Nothobranchius furzeri: one gene and its partners. The protein of the gene in region 3 binds, or shares a complex with, the protein of the main gene of each other region. Links are inferred from orthologs where the notes say so. Each region holds a gene or a part of one and is shown on either strand. Other genes may lie near its edges.

What was found. The genes of interacting proteins can lie anywhere in the genome.
Region 1: timm21 (region 3) and smim20 share a complex: the UniProt entries of both Homo sapiens proteins name them as parts of the MITRAC (mitochondrial translation regulation assembly intermediate of cytochrome c oxidase complex) complex. The link is inferred for Nothobranchius furzeri from reciprocal best matches to the Homo sapiens genes TIMM21 and SMIM20.
Region 2: timm21 (region 3) and timm17a share a complex: the UniProt entries of both Homo sapiens proteins name them as parts of the TIM23 complex. The link is inferred for Nothobranchius furzeri from reciprocal best matches to the Homo sapiens genes TIMM21 and TIMM17A.
Region 4: timm21 (region 3) and timm17b share a complex: the UniProt entries of both Homo sapiens proteins name them as parts of the TIM23 complex. The link is inferred for Nothobranchius furzeri from reciprocal best matches to the Homo sapiens genes TIMM21 and TIMM17B.

Annotation. Positions count from the first base shown.
Region 1 is NC_091742.1:58,395,798-58,400,690, reverse strand, and holds the start of smim20 (small integral membrane protein 20), read left to right. Parts: upstream 1-1,922; 5' UTR 1,923-2,015; coding exon 2,016-2,124; intron 2,125-2,377; coding exon 2,378-2,434; intron 2,435-4,893. Other genes in the region: man2b2 (epididymis-specific alpha-mannosidase), read right to left, coding at 7-179, 246-351, 1,018-1,164, 1,319-1,459.
Region 2 is NC_091743.1:60,935,141-60,940,140, reverse strand, and holds the start of timm17a (mitochondrial import inner membrane translocase subunit Tim17-A), read left to right. Parts: upstream 1-2,029; 5' UTR 2,030-2,103; coding exon 2,104-2,129; intron 2,130-3,855; coding exon 3,856-3,955; intron 3,956-4,967; coding exon 4,968-5,000. UniProt on the Homo sapiens protein: Essential component of the TIM23 complex, a complex that mediates the translocation of transit peptide-containing proteins across the mitochondrial inner membrane.
Region 3 is NC_091747.1:54,072,855-54,076,867, reverse strand, and holds timm21 (mitochondrial import inner membrane translocase subunit Tim21), read right to left. Parts: upstream 2,416-4,013; 5' UTR 2,227-2,415; coding exon 1,935-2,226; intron 1,813-1,934; coding exon 1,750-1,812; intron 1,644-1,749; coding exon 1,546-1,643; intron 1,462-1,545; coding exon 1,388-1,461; intron 1,310-1,387; coding exon 1,204-1,309; intron 1,079-1,203; coding exon 986-1,078; 3' UTR 923-985; downstream 1-922. UniProt on the Homo sapiens protein: Participates in the translocation of transit peptide-containing proteins across the mitochondrial inner membrane.
Region 4 is NC_091755.1:41,959,900-41,964,609, reverse strand, and holds the start of timm17b (mitochondrial import inner membrane translocase subunit Tim17-B), read left to right. Parts: upstream 1-1,739; 5' UTR 1,740-1,797; coding exon 1,798-1,823; intron 1,824-2,248; exon of another isoform or gene 2,249-2,357; intron 2,358-2,812; coding exon 2,813-2,912; intron 2,913-2,982; coding exon 2,983-3,046; intron 3,047-3,143; coding exon 3,144-3,272; intron 3,273-3,345; coding exon 3,346-3,456; intron 3,457-3,641; coding exon 3,642-3,703; 3' UTR 3,704-4,710. Other genes in the region: pqbp1 (polyglutamine-binding protein 1), read right to left, coding at 77-134, 218-418, 517-617, 804-915, 1,009-1,075. UniProt on the Homo sapiens protein: Essential component of the TIM23 complex, a complex that mediates the translocation of transit peptide-containing proteins across the mitochondrial inner membrane.

The DNA of each region.
Region 1 (4,893 bases), on a different chromosome or scaffold from region 3:
TCCGACCTTGTTTTTCTGCATGCTGTGTTTCAGGTCGTAGTCGATGCGGGAGATGAGGTGTGCGTCAAACCCGGCCAGAGCGAACAGGACCGGCGTGGTGGCGGAGGCTCCAAATGGATCCACATGCCAGGAGAAACGAGGGCGAACCCCGAACGTCTGGTACAGGAACCCGTGGCCCTCTGAAACAACGGTGACCTTAAGTCTCAGAAACAAACCTGAAGGTTAGAAAGAGGTCCTGGATTTACCCGTCATCTGCAAGATCTGATCGTCCAGATCCGTCACGGCCTCGTCATGCATCACTTGGCCTCCGATGATGAACTCAAGTCGACCTTCTGTCACAAGCTGTCGAACCTGGAAGGACATCGACACACAAAGGTCAGCTGAGCTTTCGCGGGATAAAGAACTAGATGTGTTGCATCCCGGTTTTCATTCAGACATAAGTTTAAGGTTTATTTAAAATGTCTACGAGATGTTTGGATAAAAATACCTGAGATACAGAACTCCGGCTTCTTTTTTAACAGTTTTAGAGGCAAACGACAAGAGCTGCTGGTCATCAGAGCAGCATTCCTGTTGCATATGGATGATGCAACCAGTCACAACATGGAATGTTGAATTTCCAACTTCCTTACATTCTTGGAATGAAAAAAGGGCGCGACCACCACATAGTTCTGTCCTAACCTTTACTGGAACTGAAAGTGTTGAAAAGTAACCCAAACATAAAGATAAGTGCTCCGCAGAGGATAAAAGTGCATGAATTATTTAAAAACAAACAATGTAGTACCACTAAACTGCACCTCCCCACGGCTCACGCCCCCACTAGTTAAAGCAAACAGGGGCAAATGTATGTACCCATAAATAAAGATTGTCTTATTTTGGTGTTTTTGATTCAAGAAAACTAAAATGGGATCATAATGTGTGTCTTTCCTGGTAACTAAGCCCCCAAGAATGAAAATTTCAGCTGATATTTTCATTGATGAATGCAGACACAATCATCTGACTAAAGAACTGAGTTCTTACTTGTTTCTTTAGGGAGTCTGAGGCGACAGTGTCCCACCACAGGCGAAAGAACTCCTGTTCCACAGCGATGAACCTTCGATCTTTGTACTTTGACAGCTCCTGGGTCACACTGGTGTACACGTTAGCTGCATAGGCATGCATGCTCTCCTGCAAAACACACACACACACACACACACACACACACACACACACACACACACACACACACACACACACACACATACACACACGCACGCACGCACGCACGTTTAGAGGGGAAAACACACATATTCATTTGGAATTCAAGATCACCCTCCACTACCTGAATGGTGTAAACCCAGCCAACATCCATGTGACTGTGAGGAATGACAAACGTTTGAATGGGCTGATCCTCAGCTGTCGATTCATGTGAACAAAATAAACAAAAACACACAAAAACTGTAAAAAACATATTTTTTTCCATCCTGAAAATGAGAAAATTCGTTCGACAAAATCCACCAGCTTCACTTCCTTATCATGTTGTTGTTTAGAATGACTGGCATTTCATACGGAAGCCCTGGTAGCCCAAAAGAAGTGACGCGAGTGACGTTCAACACTGGTGTTACATTCAAATGCGCCCCCTATTGTGTTTAAATCATGCCCATGCTATTTCACACTTATATAGTTCAAAATAATTTTAAAAAACTGCTATAAGGAAAAATCTTCATAAGTTATTTTTAAACAAATTTTAGCAAGTAGCAAACTGAAATAAAACAAAAAAATCTCAGTGTTCAGTTGGATAATAAGCTCACACATATCAAATAAATGAACTTATCTCATATTGTCAAAGACAATTTTGTTCTTTGAAGCTAAAATGTGTAAAAGTTAGCAAGACGGAAAATATTTTGATGTCTAGTTTGGGAACATTTTCAGCGGACACATTTCTATGTAGAACATATCATGACGTAATGGCCGGAAGCTGTCGCTGTAAACGCAAGTAAACACGCTTGGAGGTGAGAGACCGCCTCTGATGTAAGAAAATGTCCAAAAACGCTAAAATAGTGTTAATATTCGGAGGCTTCGTTACGGCGGTGGCCGCTGCGTTTTACCCCATATTTTTTTATCCTCTAACACACAAAGACGATTACAGTAAGTGCTTATTTTCCAACACGAGCACTCAACTGCTTCATATTGTGTTTTAACTTGAAATCCAGCAATGCTAAATGTTGTTTGACACGATTGAAACGCTAGCTAACTTTAGCTTGTTTACCACTGACTTTCTATGACAGAGTTTTTAATCCCGTAGTGAAGAAATCAAACCAGCAAAAATAAAATAAAAATCTTAACCAACAAATATGTTTTAATATTAATCTTGTGTTCTGTGTTTCTGTGATTTTGCCAGGAGAAGTCCAAAAGGTAAACCGGGCAGGAATTAACCAGGCAGATGTGCAGCCAGTTGGTAAGAACTAATAATAAAACAAAAATCAGCAATAGTGATCGGCTGTTATCTGGGTCACTCCATTCCCTCAGACTCTACCCAGCTGTTGCCGCCATTACTTTCTGTTATTTATCTGTATATTCAGTGTTTTGATACAAAAAGTAGATTTATCTCCCATTTAATTAAATTCCAACCCTTAAATCACTTTCAGCTTTTTTCAACTAACAAAATCAATTTATTAAAATGTACCCTTAAAGCTCATTATCTTAAATTTTAATTATTATTTTTATTTATCTCACTTATCCGTGGGTCCAAGGCATTTTCTAGGACTGTAAGAAGTTCAACTTCTTTTTTGTAGAGCTCGTTCTGCCCTTCAGTTAGTCTTTCATAAAACTGCATTCATAAACTCTGTTTTTCTGTCAATAAGGGGTTCTGTGTGTACAATGAGAAAAAAATGAATGTATTGTTTTCCACAAAAACTGCAATATAAGAGGAAGAAGAAGAAAATATAATTTCTATAGTGCCTCTGAAGATAAAAATCATGAGGTGCTTCACATAAACAAAAAATGTAAAAATATCAAAAAGAATTTAGAAAATTGTTAAAATATATTTAAAATTAGCAAAAAAATAATAGACAATTGTGATTAGAAAATGTAAAGAGAGAGAGTGAATAGGAAAGAGGGAAATCAGTGGATCCTGAGGAAAGTGGAATAGGTGGGGAGAGCAGAATAAAGAGAGAGTGGTGAAGAAGGTCATGCAAAAGCCACTTTGAACAGCTGATTCTTCAGCTGCTTTTTGAAGGAGACCACTGAGTCCACTGATCTCAGGCTCAGGGGGAGAGAGTTCCAGAGTCTGGGGGGCCACAGCAGCAGATGATCTGTCACCTTTGGTCTTTAGCCTGGTGCTGCACAACCAGTAGGCTTTGATCACTGGCCTCAGGGACCTGCTGGGGGTGTAGGGACTAAGAAGATCACCAATGTAAGATGGTGCTTGTTCATGTAAGGCCCTGTAGACCTGAACCAGGATCTTGAAATGAACCCTGAAGTTGACTGGCAGCCAGTGAAGCTGGAGGAGAAGCGGGGTGATGTGGGTGTGTTTGGAGGACTTGGTCAGAAGCCGAGCACAGGCATTCTGAACCACCTGTAGACGGTTCAGGGAGGTTCTGCTCAGACACGTGAAAAGAGAGTTACAGTAGTCTAAGCGTGAGGAGATGAAGGTGGGGGTAACGATCTCAAGTTCAGAGTGGGACAGAATGGGACTCAGCTTAGCAACGTGCCTGAGATGGAAGAAGGAAGAGCGAACAAGAGAACTGACATGAGAATCCAGGGTGAGAGCTGGGTCAAAGGTCACGCCAAGATTCCTGACGGAAGGTTTGGTGTGGGAAGCAAGCTGACCAAGAGAGTCTCTGACTTTGGGAACCAGCTTGTCTGGGGCACAGATGAGGATATCAGTCTTATCTTCATTCAGCTGTAGAAAGCTCCCAGCCATCCAGGTTTTGATAGAGTCTAAGTAGGTGTGTAACATCTGCAGCTTAGACATCTCATGGGGCTTAAAGGAGATGTACAGCTGGATGTCATCTGCATAAAGATGGTAGGAGATTCCTTTGAAGGAGCTCAGGATGTGCTGAAGAGGAAGCAGATAGAAGAGGAAGAGCAGAGGCCCCAGCACAGAACCTTGTGGGACACCATGGGTAAGAGAGGTGGTGGAGGACCTAAACTTGGAGACGGCCACAGAGAAGGAGCGCTCAGAGAGATAAGAGCCACTCCAGAGCAGTTCCTTGATATAATAAAGTAGGGCTGCAACAACGAATCGATGAATTCGATGAAAATCGATTACTAAAAGCGTTGGCAACGAATTGCGTCATCGATTCGTTGTGTCGCACAACTCTTCCAAAAGCGCCCCCCCTTCCCGCCCACCGTTGCGCGCAGACAGATCAGCGCGAGAGAGAGCCGGCAGTTGTTTGGAAGAGGAACATGACAGAAGCAGCGAGAGTCAAAAAAGTAAAAGCTTTTTAAGTTTGGGAGCATTTTCAGTTAAATCAGGCGAAGACATGCGTTACCTGCAACGTTTAGGTCAGACTGGGATGCACGGGATGATGCAGCGTCTTAAACGCAAGCATGTCGGGATCATCAGCGAGGAAGGAGAGAACTCTGTGTCCGGGTAAATTAAAAACTTTTCAAAAGTGATTCATCCAAGTCCCGGATTATTACACAGGCTAGACATGCCCTAAATTCGTAAAAAAAGAGTCTAAAGTCGTGAGCGCGACGCTTATTAGATGAGCGGGGGGACTCGCACTGCTGCGAACCGGTTCCGCCCAAGGCCGGATTAACTGGGCAATTGCCCAGGGCCCACGAACTCTAAAGGGCCCAGGGCACGAGCACAATACTGTATCTATAATTTCCCGCTTTATGAGGACTATGGTGACCGTACGTTCCGTTTTCCCCGGCCGTGTCCACTTTTCACTCTCTGTCCGGCGCGTC
Region 2 (5,000 bases), on a different chromosome or scaffold from region 3:
GTATGATGGTTGATGAGCATTTTGTTTAACATCTCCTCTCCGTTCATGTAGTTGTTATTGCATCAACTCACCATTAAATTTATGGAGAGTTGGGAGTTTTCCTCTCCACTGTCGCTTTATGCTTGCTTAGTATGAGGATTGCTGTATAGTCACTGACACTAGTAAGTGACTTGATGCAATTTGCTGGGTTCCTTATATAGGAAAAATTATTTCAGATTGGCTTAATGAACTGTCCTGAATTGGAATGTTTATTATGTGAAGTACCTTGAGACGACTCTTGTCGTGATTTGGCGCTATACAAATAAACTTGAATTGAATTGAATTGAATTGAATTGAATTGAATTGAATGGAGATGTTCCAAACATGATGTGCAGTCAGTGTGAATGGCAGTCCACCTGGAAGCCATACGAAAATGAACCACACACATTGTTTGTGTAAACATGGCCTTACTCCTTATTCACACAGAGTGCAGAATTGTTCCATAAACTCAACTTTTCAATTTTTAAAGTGGAGATTTTCTTTCATGTGTTCTACTTGATGCTGTTCATGTGAAGCTGCATGGCAACTCTGGCTGAAAAGGTAACCATCATCTGAGCATACTCAGACATGGAAAAGGGGAGCATGAGCATTACCAGCAACTGTTTATCTCTCCAAACCCTGCTTCAGCCTCTGCTTCCATATTTGGTCATTTCTCAATGAGAGTTTGCTTTGCAAGTCATTCCTTTCCCCCTTTCTAATAATGGGCTGCATGCCAGCTGTCTGTCTCTTGGCTGTAGCTGCTCCTCTGACCAGCAGCGTCAGTCTCTGATGGAGAAAAACAGGAGAGGGAATGAAAACATTCCGTTAAATGCTTTAACACTAACACACGGGCTTGCAGAAAAATTATGTCAACGTTTAAAAGCAGAAAAGAACTTTAATAGTACCAACTTGCGGTTTATAAGAAGTTTGTATTACAGTTTTTTTAAATGCCTGGAACATTCATTTAACCATTTTTTATGAAACAAAGAACAAAGTGGATTTTTTTCCACAGCTTTACCCTGTCAAATCAGGAAAACTTGAAGGTATTAAAGCTGCTTTAAGAAACTTGGAAAACAAATTAGCTTAAAACATTTTTTCATCCCTTTTTACAATCTTCTAACATAGTATGGCTATAAAATATTATGTAGTAAAAAGGGTGGCTTTTCTGAGGAAAATAGCATATAAAACATTTTTTCAGTTATTTAATCTTTTTTAGTTAAGTACATAACTCCACATGTGTTCATTTGTAGTTTTGATGCCTTCAGTGAGAGTCTACCAACGTACAGTAAATGGTCATGAAAAATAAAGAAAACATATTGAATGAGAAGTTGTATCCAATCTTTTAGCCTGTACTTTACACACACACATATGTGTGTGTGTGTGTGTGTGTGTGTGTATATATATATATATATATATATATATATATATATATATATATATATATATATATATATAGAGAGAGAGAGAGAGAGAGAGAGAGAGAGAGAGGGGGTCATATGAAAATTGTTACATCTATAAAACAACATTGGAGAAAACAGAGCATGAACATGGAGCATGAATGTGACACTGTCAGAAATCTTTCCGTGAATCTTTGTTCCGTTTGGTATAATCCTAAAAGAGAAAAACTGCATTGTTTTTATAAACAATCTTATCTTTACAAAGTATTATTAGTATATAGACCTACATACATGTACATATGCCTAGTCTCACCCAATGGCGTTTAAAAATTATCTTCCGTTTTACAAAAATGTTTGAAACTAATTCTCTTGCAATTAGGCTTTACACATTCATAGGACAACTTAATTTTTATCGATTTCCTTCTATTTAGTATTTGTTTTTCTACTGGTTTGGTATTCCATGTTTGTTTCATTTGTACTTTGTACCTCTTTTTATTTTCGCCCTTATGTGTTTTAATATATATGTCACTACAAGGTTTTGCTTCTCTTTTAATTTAGTGTCTTGAAGGAGCGTGATTAAAGTCCTGTGTTGAAAATTTGTCATTGTTCATTTTTTTTCAATAAAGTTTTTCTTTTTTAAGGAAGAAGTGACGTTACGTTACGTCAGTGGTAACAGCTAAAGAACAAAATGGAGGAATATGCCAGAGAGCCGTGGTAAGTTTCAAAATAACGATAAATGTTACAGTTTACGTTGTTTTAATAAAATTAGCCAATTTTATCTAATTTAAAATGAGCATTGCATTTAGTTTTCATCTTTATATTTATTGTTAAAGCTTGTGGCACATCCCGATACACCTGGAAAAAAAAATACCGGCTGGCCAATTTAGCTCAAATGCTAATTTCTCCTTGAGTTTAATGGGCTTTTGTGCTAGCATCAGAACGGAAAGGCTAAATCACGTTGTTGGTGACCTTGCCGTTTTTCTCGTCCACATGTCATCAAAGTAAATTCAGGAACTGAAGTTACGCTTTGTGAATTATAAGTGTCACAGTTTATATTAATCACTAACAGCATTTATAAAAGTTATCGTCTTCAGATATTGTTAGGCTATTAGACATTGTTGATGTAGCTGTTAGCTCAGTTAGCCACCAGTGTGCTAACCATCCGGATATTACACAACTTGTAATTTAAGACAAAATCGTATGATCAGACATATACATATCAAACGTTCTGAGATACTCCTATTGAGTTATATTAAATATGCCTAACACTGGAACACCTTAGTTGTCTAGCTGGGTCATCTTTATAAAAACAGGTTTAACAAGAGATCATTTAAAATTTGACAAATGCTGTTTTATAGCAAGACATTTTGAGGGTTAAATTAGGTTAATGTTTGAAATCCAAGACAGGGAAAAATGCCTTTTAATCATTTCCAGTGAGAAGAAGTTGGCTTTATATGTCAGCTGTTAGTTTGCTGCTATTGAGTGTTTTAAAACTGTTTATGATGCTGCTTTGTTAATCCACTCATACAATGATCTCTCTCAATAACTGGGATCTTAGTATTGTAACACATGTAATTTGTTCATTTTTGTTCAGACAAAAATGTCAAAAAACATACTTTGACAGGTATGGCAGATTTGTAGAGTTTTTGTAAAGCTGAACATTTCTAAGTGTAGTAAATGAAGTGTAAGAAATGAGCTCAAAATTTCATCAGTCTTCAAATTGTGTGATGAGAGTTGCGTCATTCTTCAGGTGTTATTCTAAACCAAGTCCAGGTTCAAAGACTTGACTGAAAAAATAGTCTGACTGAATCAGACATGAAATTTTTTCAGAAAACTTTATTTTAGAAAAACTGCATGAAATTGGTTCTTGGATGTTAAATATAAATGAGTTGAAGAAAAACTTAGGGGGTTATCGCTCAATTTCTGTCATCTGTTTTCATAAGAGTGGTTACCAGAATTATTCAAACATCACATAAACAGAACAGTTTAAAAGACATAGTTATCAGTGTCTGTGTACTCTGTCACCAGACCTTTTGCTGTGTTTAATAATTCACATTTTGTTCCTCTTTGGTATAAATCAAACTCTTTTAAGCATTTCTATTTGTTGCACCTATCTCTATTTACAGTTCTGGCTGCAGGGCTAGGGATCGCTCATCTCAGTAAACTCTTCCCTAATTACATCTCTTTTTTCCCCCCCATAAAATTGACACAAAAAAGTTTTTTTCTTGAGGCTTCATAGTTTGTTTTAATCTCAATAGTTCTGTGTGTCCCGTATAGTAAATGCTACAGTTCCAATTAAGACTGTGTGTTTATTTGAACTTCAGCTTGGAAGCACACACTTCAAACATCATCCATGACTGTGTTGCATTTTAACACTAAAATAAAGTTTTCTTGAGACTTTTTTTAGATCAGAATTTTGAATTCTGTTTTTTACTTGTAGCCCCTGGAGGATTGTGGATGACTGTGGTGGAGCTTTCACCATGGGAGCTATTGGTGGAGGAATTTTTCAGGCTGTGAAAGGCTTCAGAAATGCACCTTCAGTAAGTTAACCAACAGTGTTTTACAGGGTTCCCTTTTACACACTCACATGAAGACTAGCCTTGACATTTAATGGCTTGGTCAAGGATGCTGGATGGGTCCAAATCCAGGGATAGTATCCTAGTAAGGACCTGGATTACCCGGTCTGTTGGGTTGGGCATCGATTGGAACCGGGACTAACCGTCAGTTTTTTCCAGAATCGTTCAGATTTAAGGCTGCTGACCGGAAGAAGAATCTGTTGTCGATCTCCGTGAAAAAAGCATGATATGCAAATTCTGATCAATGCCTTTCAGAGCCGATCATACCAGCTATCTGTCGGTCCTACTCGCAGCCCGCAGAGACCCTGAGAGCAGCATTGCGTCCCCCCTCCTTAGCCTCACACTGCGCAGGTGCGCAGCGGCTAAAATGTAAACAAACTTGTCTGCAGAACTTTTACTCTGTGATGTAAACTTTAATTCCTGCAGTGAAAAATGCATCGTGGAGGAAGCTCGTAAAAATGTGTTAACATAGTGGATTTAATGAAAATTTTGAAGAACAAACTCCAGGCAGTGTGAGGTGAGTTTGGCTTCCTGCAGAAATAAAAACACGGAGCATCAACAGTCAACTGCAGCCACTCACCAACACTCATCTGTGTGAGCGTGACCGTCGGAAGACTGAGCAAATTACCTAGAGCTAGATCAGCCGTTCTCTGTGGCGGATGACTGACACCGATTTCTAGCCACTAGTCTGTCCTTGATATTTGGGGAAAACAAGGACACATTTTGAGTTTCCTTCATATTTGGAAGGCCTTGTCACTTTTCTGTGGCATAATCAACCTTAAAATGTGGCCTTGAAAGGATGCAGCCTCTGGATTTATGCACAGCCCCATAAATGCAACTAGAGGGCTGTGGTCTGTGTTTATCTGAATCAGAAAAGTTGATTGTAGTTTTTAGATTTTTAATTGTATCGAGAAAATCACTTCAACTCCTGAGCTGAGAATCATTCAGCACTGATCCATGTTTCGTCCTTTTCCAGGGGATGAGTCACAGGATGAGGGGTAGTTTAACC
Region 3 (4,013 bases):
CAAAAACATGTATTTAGGTTAATGCCAGGGATTATATGAGTTTATCCACTATAATCAATATTTTGTAAGACTGTCTCCATCTAGTGGTCACTAGTGAAACATTCAGCCCATCAAAAAAACTTTCAAACATACTCAGGACGTTGTGGATTGGTGGGCAGAATACTTCAAAGACCTCCTCAATCCCACCGATACGTCTTCCAGTGAGAATGCAGAGTCTGGGGACTTTGGGTTGGCCTCTCAACTCTGGTGCTGAGGTCACTGAGGTGGTTAAAAAGCTCCTCTGTGGCAAGGCTCCAGGGGTGGATGAGATCCGCCCGGAGTTCCTTAAGGCTCTGGATGTTGTGGGGCTGTGTTGGCTGAGGCAGCTCTGCCAAAGCTTGGTCATTCGGGAGGGGCTCGAAGTAGACCCGCTGCTCCTCCACATCGAGAGGAGCCAGTTGAGGTGGCTCGGGTATCTGGTCAGGATGCCTCCTGGACGCCTCCCTGGTGAGGTTTTCCGGGCACGTACAACCGGGAGGAGACCTAAAGGTAGACCCAGGACACGGTGGAGTGACTATGTCTCTCACCTGGCCAGGGAACGCCTTGGGATTCCCCCGGAGGAGCTGGCCAAAGTGGTTGGGGAGAGGGAAGTCTGGGCCTCTCGCCTTAGGCTACTGCCCCCGCGACCCGACTCCGGATAAGCGGATGAAAATGGATGGATGGATCTATTTTTTGAAAGTAGATAAATGTTGCAAAAAGAAATGCCCAAAATTTTTAATTTAGTCAAGCAGAAGAGTCCGCGTTTATTTAAAAAGAAAGCCCCCCTGAAGGACACTTTAGGACAGATCAGCAATAAAGAGGGGTCAAAAGGTCTAAAGCAGGGACACAAACTGGACTTTGTTGAGTCATTTAACACATTAGTTTCAAATTAAAAAGGACAAGATTGTAATCCAGTGACCAGTGCCTTGTTTATTTAAATAATGCAGATTGTGAACAGCAGGGGTTCTCATCTGTTGTCCTCTATGATGATGCTCCGTTTGGGGTAGGTATCTAGATCCACGAATATATAACGAAATTCATATTTCCCCGTTTCTGGGTTCTGAAGTAAGAAACCAAAGACAACAAATCAAAAGACAATGGATGCAGTTTTCCTCTCAGCTCTTAGTATTTGATACCAGCTATTATAAAATGGATATTGTGTGAGCAGATCAGAAACCTACACACCTCCTTCGACTCTGAATGAACAGTTCCTTTCAGGCCTGGCTCGGAGCCTTCAATGTAAAACTTCAGTCTCAAGTGCTTCAGTCCATCCTTCAGATACTCCAGATGACTGAGGCGAAAACAAAAACAGATTAAAAAACAGCATAATCCCAAATAAACACAGTTTTATGCCTAGTTTAGTTTGTACCTGAGATGCTGCCTCCTTCCTCTGCGGGTGGTCTCACCGTAGCACTTGATTGGCTCGCCAAATGCCCCGATTACCTGCACTTTCAAATCAAAAACAGCACCGTGCATGTAACTTTATACTGAAAAGAGCCAAAAGAGTAAATCATTTGTCATTCTCACCTCTGGGTGTGACCTGACTTTATCAAAAGCTTTTGCGTAGACTTTATTTGGGCTTTTGGACGAAAACAGCTCCTGGAAAACCACATACAGCAGTCCACCTAAACACAAACGCACACATTTTTATTTATTTTGACAGCAGCGGGTAAGATCAAATTAAATATGCTGCTAATCACACGTTTGTTTCTGCAGTCTGGCTACTCTCACCTGTCACTCCCAGTCCGATGATCACAACTATCAGGTAGGTGAAGTCTTTACCAGCTTCTTTTACTGGAAGACACCCACAATGAGACTTTAGTAAACAACAGCATGCAGTAATTGGCATAAACTAACCCTAACCTACAGCATTTTGTACCGTGCTGCATAGCAACATAGCGTTAGCATTAGCTTACTCTTCTGGGAAGCTGAAGCTTTGGGGCTTGCGCGCTGATACCTGGACACCGCCGCTTTGTTCTCGTCCTCTGGCCTGCTCCTGTTTCTGGCTGAACAGTGGAGCGGTCTCACAGCCACACGGAGACAACTCAGCGCAGACAGAGGACTATCTGTCCCGAGAAGGACCAGTCCTGGTGTTGTGGACAAAGTCCTGCGCGCGTGAGCTAACAGTCGCAACTGACATGTTTGCGCTGCCGCTGTGTGTTGCAGACTTCGGTGTAACAAGGCTTTTAAAGGGTGAAGATACGCCATTATTGTCAATAAACCCACATTGAGGTGAACGGCAGTACAAACTACAGCGGCTGGCCTACTATAGTGTATAATTATGTCACCGTGACGTTTAATTATAGAACATTAATCGGCTAATGTCACACAAACAAAGCTGGTTTAGGTCGCACCAATATGGCGTAGCTTCTTCTTTGTTGTCTTTATTAGGAGTAAACAAATCAGCTTGGACTACCTCCACCTACCGGACAAAAACGAAACAACAAGCTTGCAATACCAGGAACATTTCCCCCCATTTGTTATGGTGGCTCTTGTGTAAATCCTTGTGAGTCGTTTTCTGTGAAGAAAAAAGTAAAACATTTGCTCTTCTGTTTCAGTAAGTAGAAGTTAGATGGAGCAGAGATCTGAAATGTTCAGCTAGCTGCTAATATTTCCTGCTTTAGCTCATTGATTCCATCTGGTTAAACACAGATACATTAGATATATTTATTGAGTTTTAGTAGTTAAGTAGTTTGAATAAGAGAAGATGTTCTGGCTTTCTCATTATCTGGACTAAACTATGCTATGTTTTATTTTGAAAGAACATACAGGAAGTAATAATGAGTATGGTCTTGTTTAGCTTTATTAACATTGACTGTAGTAACAGTTTTTGTCTTCCAGAGGACGGAAATATCCTTAATCTTAAAAGCCATAGACTGAAGGACTGAGTTCGATCTACATGATGCAGGAAACGTTCACATCCTGGTACTTCTGAGAAGAATTTACAGGAAGTGTACTAATTATTGTAACTTTACAAGTGCAGTTCCCCATTCTCCTCTTCCCTTTCCTCATTTAATCAATACATTTGCAGTAGTCTCTAGTAGGAATAAACATCTCGTGTGTCATACTCTGGGGAAAGAAAACACCGGCGCACCATTTTCAGGAACTAGAAGTGAGCCACATCAGAGCTGAGCTTCAAACGGCGGCTTTTCCGGAACTGCGCTGCTCTGGGTGGCTGCATGTTGGAGTAGCTCTGTTGACTATATGTAAGTTTTGTCTTTTCTTGGGCATTTTTTCTTATAGTTTCTCAAGAAAAACTGTATTTTTTGGACACTTTACTTTTCTGTTTCTGGTGCTGTGAAGCTTGGAGGATTTTTACTGCTATTTCTTTTAGCTTTTTTCACTTTTTGAGCATTTGTTATGATGCATAACCATGGCAACAAGCTGGTTTACAATCGATAGCAGCTGATTAACATTGGAAAGGCTGAAATAATACCTCAACTGAAGCCACAAATCCCAAATGAGCTAAAACGCAAGAAGCGTGGGTGCAGAGCGGGAGCAAAACGGAGATGGAGAAAGAGGAAATTCAAACCATCTCTTCCATCGATCATAATGGGCAATGTGAGATCACTGGCCAACAAGATGGAGGAACTCCAAGCCCTTTCAAGGACTCAGCCAGAGTGTCGGCAGTTTCGGAACCACTGGAGGAGATAATGTAAAGAAGGATTCTCCAGAGAATCAAGAAACTTAAGGACAACCCTGAGCATTCTCTTCACAAGACTGTCCGACAACAGAAGAGTGTCTTCAGTCAGAGGCTTCTTCAGTTTCAATTCAATTCAAAAATACTTTATTAATCCCAGAGGGAAATTGATTGCTGTAGTAGCTCAGAATAATAATAATAATAATCAAGTCATCAAAGAGTTATTGTATATTACAATGGCTGTTGGCAGGAAGGATCTCCGGTAGCGGTCAGTGTTGCAGCCAAACTGAAGAAGCCTCTGACTGAAGACACTCTTCTGTTGTCGGACAGTCTTGTGAAGAGAATGCTCAGGGTT
Region 4 (4,710 bases), on a different chromosome or scaffold from region 3:
CAAAGCTGAAGCTGACATGTAACTGAGTGGAATGACGACAGGGGTAATTTCCTGCCTGCTGCTTGTTTTACTTTACCTGGGAGCATCAGAATAAGCGCTGGGGTCCATGGGGTCCATCTCGTCATCCTTTCTTCCTGCAAACACGATCAGATTTTAACTGTTATTGTATCACAGATAAAGCTTTAACGTGAAAACGAAAGACTTCTGTAAGCATCACCTCTTTTGTTCTTGTTGTATGGTGCCATGTCGTCCCTCCTTTGCTTTCTTCTGTCTCTGTCCCGCCCATCATCTCTGTCCCTGTCTCTGTCCCGATCTCTTTCTCTTTCCCGGTCCCTATCCCTGTCTCTGTCCCTTTCCCGTTCTCTCTCTCTGTCTGGCTTCTCAAACGGTCGCTCTCCTCTTTCATCTCCCAAATCAGCTAAAAACAAATAATAATGCAATTTCTGTGAAAAACATTCCTCGTTTCTTTTTTAAAGACACTTATGCAAAACTGGCGAGTTTAGTTTTTAAACCCACCTTTCATTTTCTTGGCAGCTTTTGTTATCACAGACGAGGGGTCATTTGGGGACAGCCAGGCGACTAGATCCGTCTCAACATTCCAGTAGTAAGGAAGACCACTGAGGGTGGCAGGAAATCAGGAAGAGAAGGCTAATCAGCTTACATACTAAACATGTAAAAGAGACCCAATGACATCGCTTTGTGAATTCACTGGAAAGCTTCATCTGGACTGCAAACACCCAAACACAAGCGCACTGGAGGTAAAACTACCAAAGAACCGTAGATAACCAGTACAGTGTACGTACCAAGCTGGATCAAACACTTTGTACCAGTTTGGAGGAAGATTCTCTGCTCTGGTGGCTTCATAATCTACATTATTGTCATCATAATCTTCGGCAATAATCTCCTCATCTGCACCTGTTATTAAAGGAGAAAATACTGTTACACGACATACGTGTAAAGTCACAGAGAAGGATGCATGGAGCCAGCGTGTTCAAGCCAAATGAGAACCTCGTTCTGTTGGTTTAACGATCCCCCTCTTGGCCAAGCGGGCCAGCAGAGCTGGAGGAAGAGGCATCCTGAAAAACACGAGATGCTGTCACAACAGTCACCTCGAACATCTGTACATGAGGTCAGTGGTTTCATAAATCCACAGCAAAGATACAGAAAATTTACTTGTTTCTCATGTGTTCTGATATTTAAAGTATACAGCCTCAATTATACACAACGGGGTTTATCCCAATAAACAAAACGTCTCTTTACTGCCAAATTACGTACAAAAACGAGTTAATTTATAACAAATAAACATCTGAACAGAAACCTTTCAGATAAAACATTGTAATGAAATATGGAGAACATAAAGCTCCCAACAGCACACGCAGTAAAAGGCGTCGGGCTTTCAATACAATTTGAATAAATGCTGTTCTTACGTTTTCAGTTGAAGTTATGTTCAACATTTGAGTTGTGTTATTTTTAAAGACTTTAACTACAGATGTAGAAACAGTCTGACATTCGTAAAATCTGCATTTATTTGCACGAACAACAAACGTTTACCCGAAGGCTAACCCTGTTAGCAACCGCTGGATGATTAAATCAACAAGCAGACTGCGTAAGTACTTCCATGCCCGGAAGGAACGAAAATCTGAACGTTTACGCTTCAAAACGGGATCCGAACAGGAACAAGTTTACCTGAGATAAAGAAATTCACCCAATAGCAGAGAAAATGATGTTAGCACCGCCAACGCACTAGTAGCGCCGGTCGCACGTGTATGACGTCACAACGTCTAGACGAAAACAAACATGGAGGAATATGTCCGCGAACCTTGGTAAGATTAGTTTGTCTTTAACTGTAAACTAAATACGGCTAACATACATACCAGTGTTGGTTTTTCTAGTGAAACATAAACATGTGAGAGAACAGAGACGCGTTGTGAGTTCTGCTGTCAATCCACGTATATATACGTGCTTACGTTCAATGCAATTCAAAAATACTTTATTAATCCCAGAGGAAATTGATTGCTGTAGTAGCTCAGAATAATAATAATAAACAAGTCATCAAAGAGTTGTTGTATATTACAATGGCTGTTGGCAGGAAGGATCTCCAGTAGCGGTCAGTGTTGCAGCCAAACTGAAGAAGCCTCTGACTGAAGACACTCTTCCGTTGTCGGACAGTCTTGTGAAGAGAACGCTCAGGGTTGTCCATAATTTTCTTGATTCTCTGGAGAATCCTCCTTTGCATTTTCTCCTCCAGCGGTTCCGAAACTGCCGAAACTCTGGCTGAGTCCTTGAAAGGGCTTGGAGTTCCTCCATCTTGTTGGCCAGTGATCTCACATTGCCCGTTATGATCGATGGAAGAGACGGTTTGAATTTCCTCTTTCTCTGTCTCCGTTTTGCTCCCGCTCTGCACCCACGCTTCTTGCGTTTTAGCTCATTTGGGATTTGTGGCTTCAGTTGAGGTATTATTTCAGCCTTTCCAATGTTAATCAGCTGCTCCCGATTGTAAACCAGCTTGTTGCCATGGTTACGCATCATAACAAATGCTCAAAAAGTGTAAAAAGCTAAAAAATAGCAGTAAAAATCCTCCAAGCTTCACAGCACCAGAAACAGAAAAGTAGTGTCCAAAAAAATACCGTTTCTCTTGAGAAACTAGAAGAAAAAATGCCCAAGAAAAGGCAAAACTTACATATAGTCAACAGAGCTACTCCAACATGCAGCCACCCAGAGCAGCGCAGTTCCGTTGACGTCTGTATCCTGATCTGACTGTATATCTTGTATTTTGACGGTGTCTTGTGTGTCCTCCCCTAACCTCCTGCAGCCCCTGGAGGATTGTGGACGACTGTGGAGGAGCTTTCTCCATGGGTGTCATCGGTGGAGGGGTGTTCCAGGCCATCAAGGGCTTCCGAAATGCCCCTGCTGTGAGTTTAAAACAGACTAGTTTGACTTGACTTCTTGGAAGCCTTTATAAACCTGTCTGTAACATTTCAGGGTGTTGGACACAGACTAAGAGGAAGTGCAAAGGCAGTGAGAGTGAGGGCCCCACAGATTGGAGGTTTGACCCGTTGCTGCTCTGCTCCTCACACACCACTGAAGGATTTTGGTCCCTTTCTCTAAACTGAGCTTCAGCACTGACGTGCTTCTTCTACCAGGTAGCTTTGCCGTATGGGGAGGTCTCTTCTCTACGATTGACTGTGGCTTGGTTCGCCTGAGAGGGAAAGAAGACCCGTGGAACTCTATAACAAGTGGTGCGCTGACTGGAGCCATTCTAGCAGCACGCAGTGAGGATAACACTCAACAACCAAACACTAGACAGGAACTCAGTAACTCACCAAATGTTTTGGTTTGCCTCAGGTGGGCCGTTGACCATGATGGGCTCGGCCATGATGGGCGGGGTTTTACTCGCTCTCATAGAAGGTTTTGGCATTCTCCTAACCAGATACACAGCCCAGCAGTTTCAGAACCGTGAGTGCCTTTCCCGTCTCTGTAATATACACCAGGTGCTCAAACTGAACACCTGCAGACATCTTTAAACCACTTTTGGGTTTTAGTTAAGCCATCTGTCGTTTGAAACCGATAACCAGTAGGATACTTGCAGCACGTCCAAGAAAAGCCTGACAAGTTCACTTCTTTCTGCTTGTTGTCTCCAGCCGTTCCCTTTGCAGAGGACCCCAGTCAGCTTCCTCCGAAGGACGGAGGGCCCCCCCCATAGCCAGCAGCAGGGCCCAAAAGGGCTGTTCCAGTAGAGGGTTGAGTCCAGCTGTAGACCAGAGCAGCAATGCCCTTAGGACTTGGCTGTAGAACCTCAGGGTCAGTGTTTAAATGTTTACGTGCGAGAGTTGTCGCTGTCGTCTTTATGCTTAAATATCTAGTTTGAGTTTCACATAAATGCTTTCATTATTCATAATGATTTAAACACGTATGTTTAAAACATGGGGAGAACATGTTTGGTCTCTTCTGGAGTCCGCGTGGAAACACGAGCTCTCAGCGTAAAACCCTCCTGTCTCCACTGTCTGGATGAGCTGATGTCGCTGGCCCGAGACTGCTGGCAGCCACACAGGCGGAGCGTGAATGTGGACAGGGTCGTGTGGAGCTTATTTACCGCAGTGATGCTAATTTTCTTGTTGTCTTAATGTTCTTTGATTTGACTCCAGATTTATTAATGGACCCTTTGTAAAATGGTCTCATACTGCTGAATGGACGAAGGTTCCAGACATCAGCAGCAAGACGTCTGTTATTATTTTGGGACAAACGCTTGTTAGGACCTGTTCAGAATGGCAGCAACACGAGACAAGGACAATGAGAATCCTTGGAAATTCCCTCTTGATTTGAAAAGGCGCCCCCAGCAGTCACAGATAGCCCAGTGAGAGCCCAGATGCACGCTCATTCACAGCCGCGCTTGCATCACGTTTGAGGATCTCGCTAGAAGACTAGGTCTTTCCTGGAAGAGGTTTGCAGGAAGCTCAGCTCTTACTCGAGTTCCCACACGCTGGTCCTCCTGAACATCTCTGCAGCCTTTTAAAGCTGCAGTTTGTTTGTGAAACCTAGTAAAAGACCAGTGGCTGAAGCCAGCAGTCAACACGCTCCTCTCCAAGACCTGCATGGTGGGGAAACCATTTGCTTGTTTTGTTTCTTCTGTAGGAAAAGTCTTCAGAAAAAGCCTGTAAGCGTAACTCTTACTGATCAAACCACTCGTTTCCTCCGGAGCTGGTGTTGTAG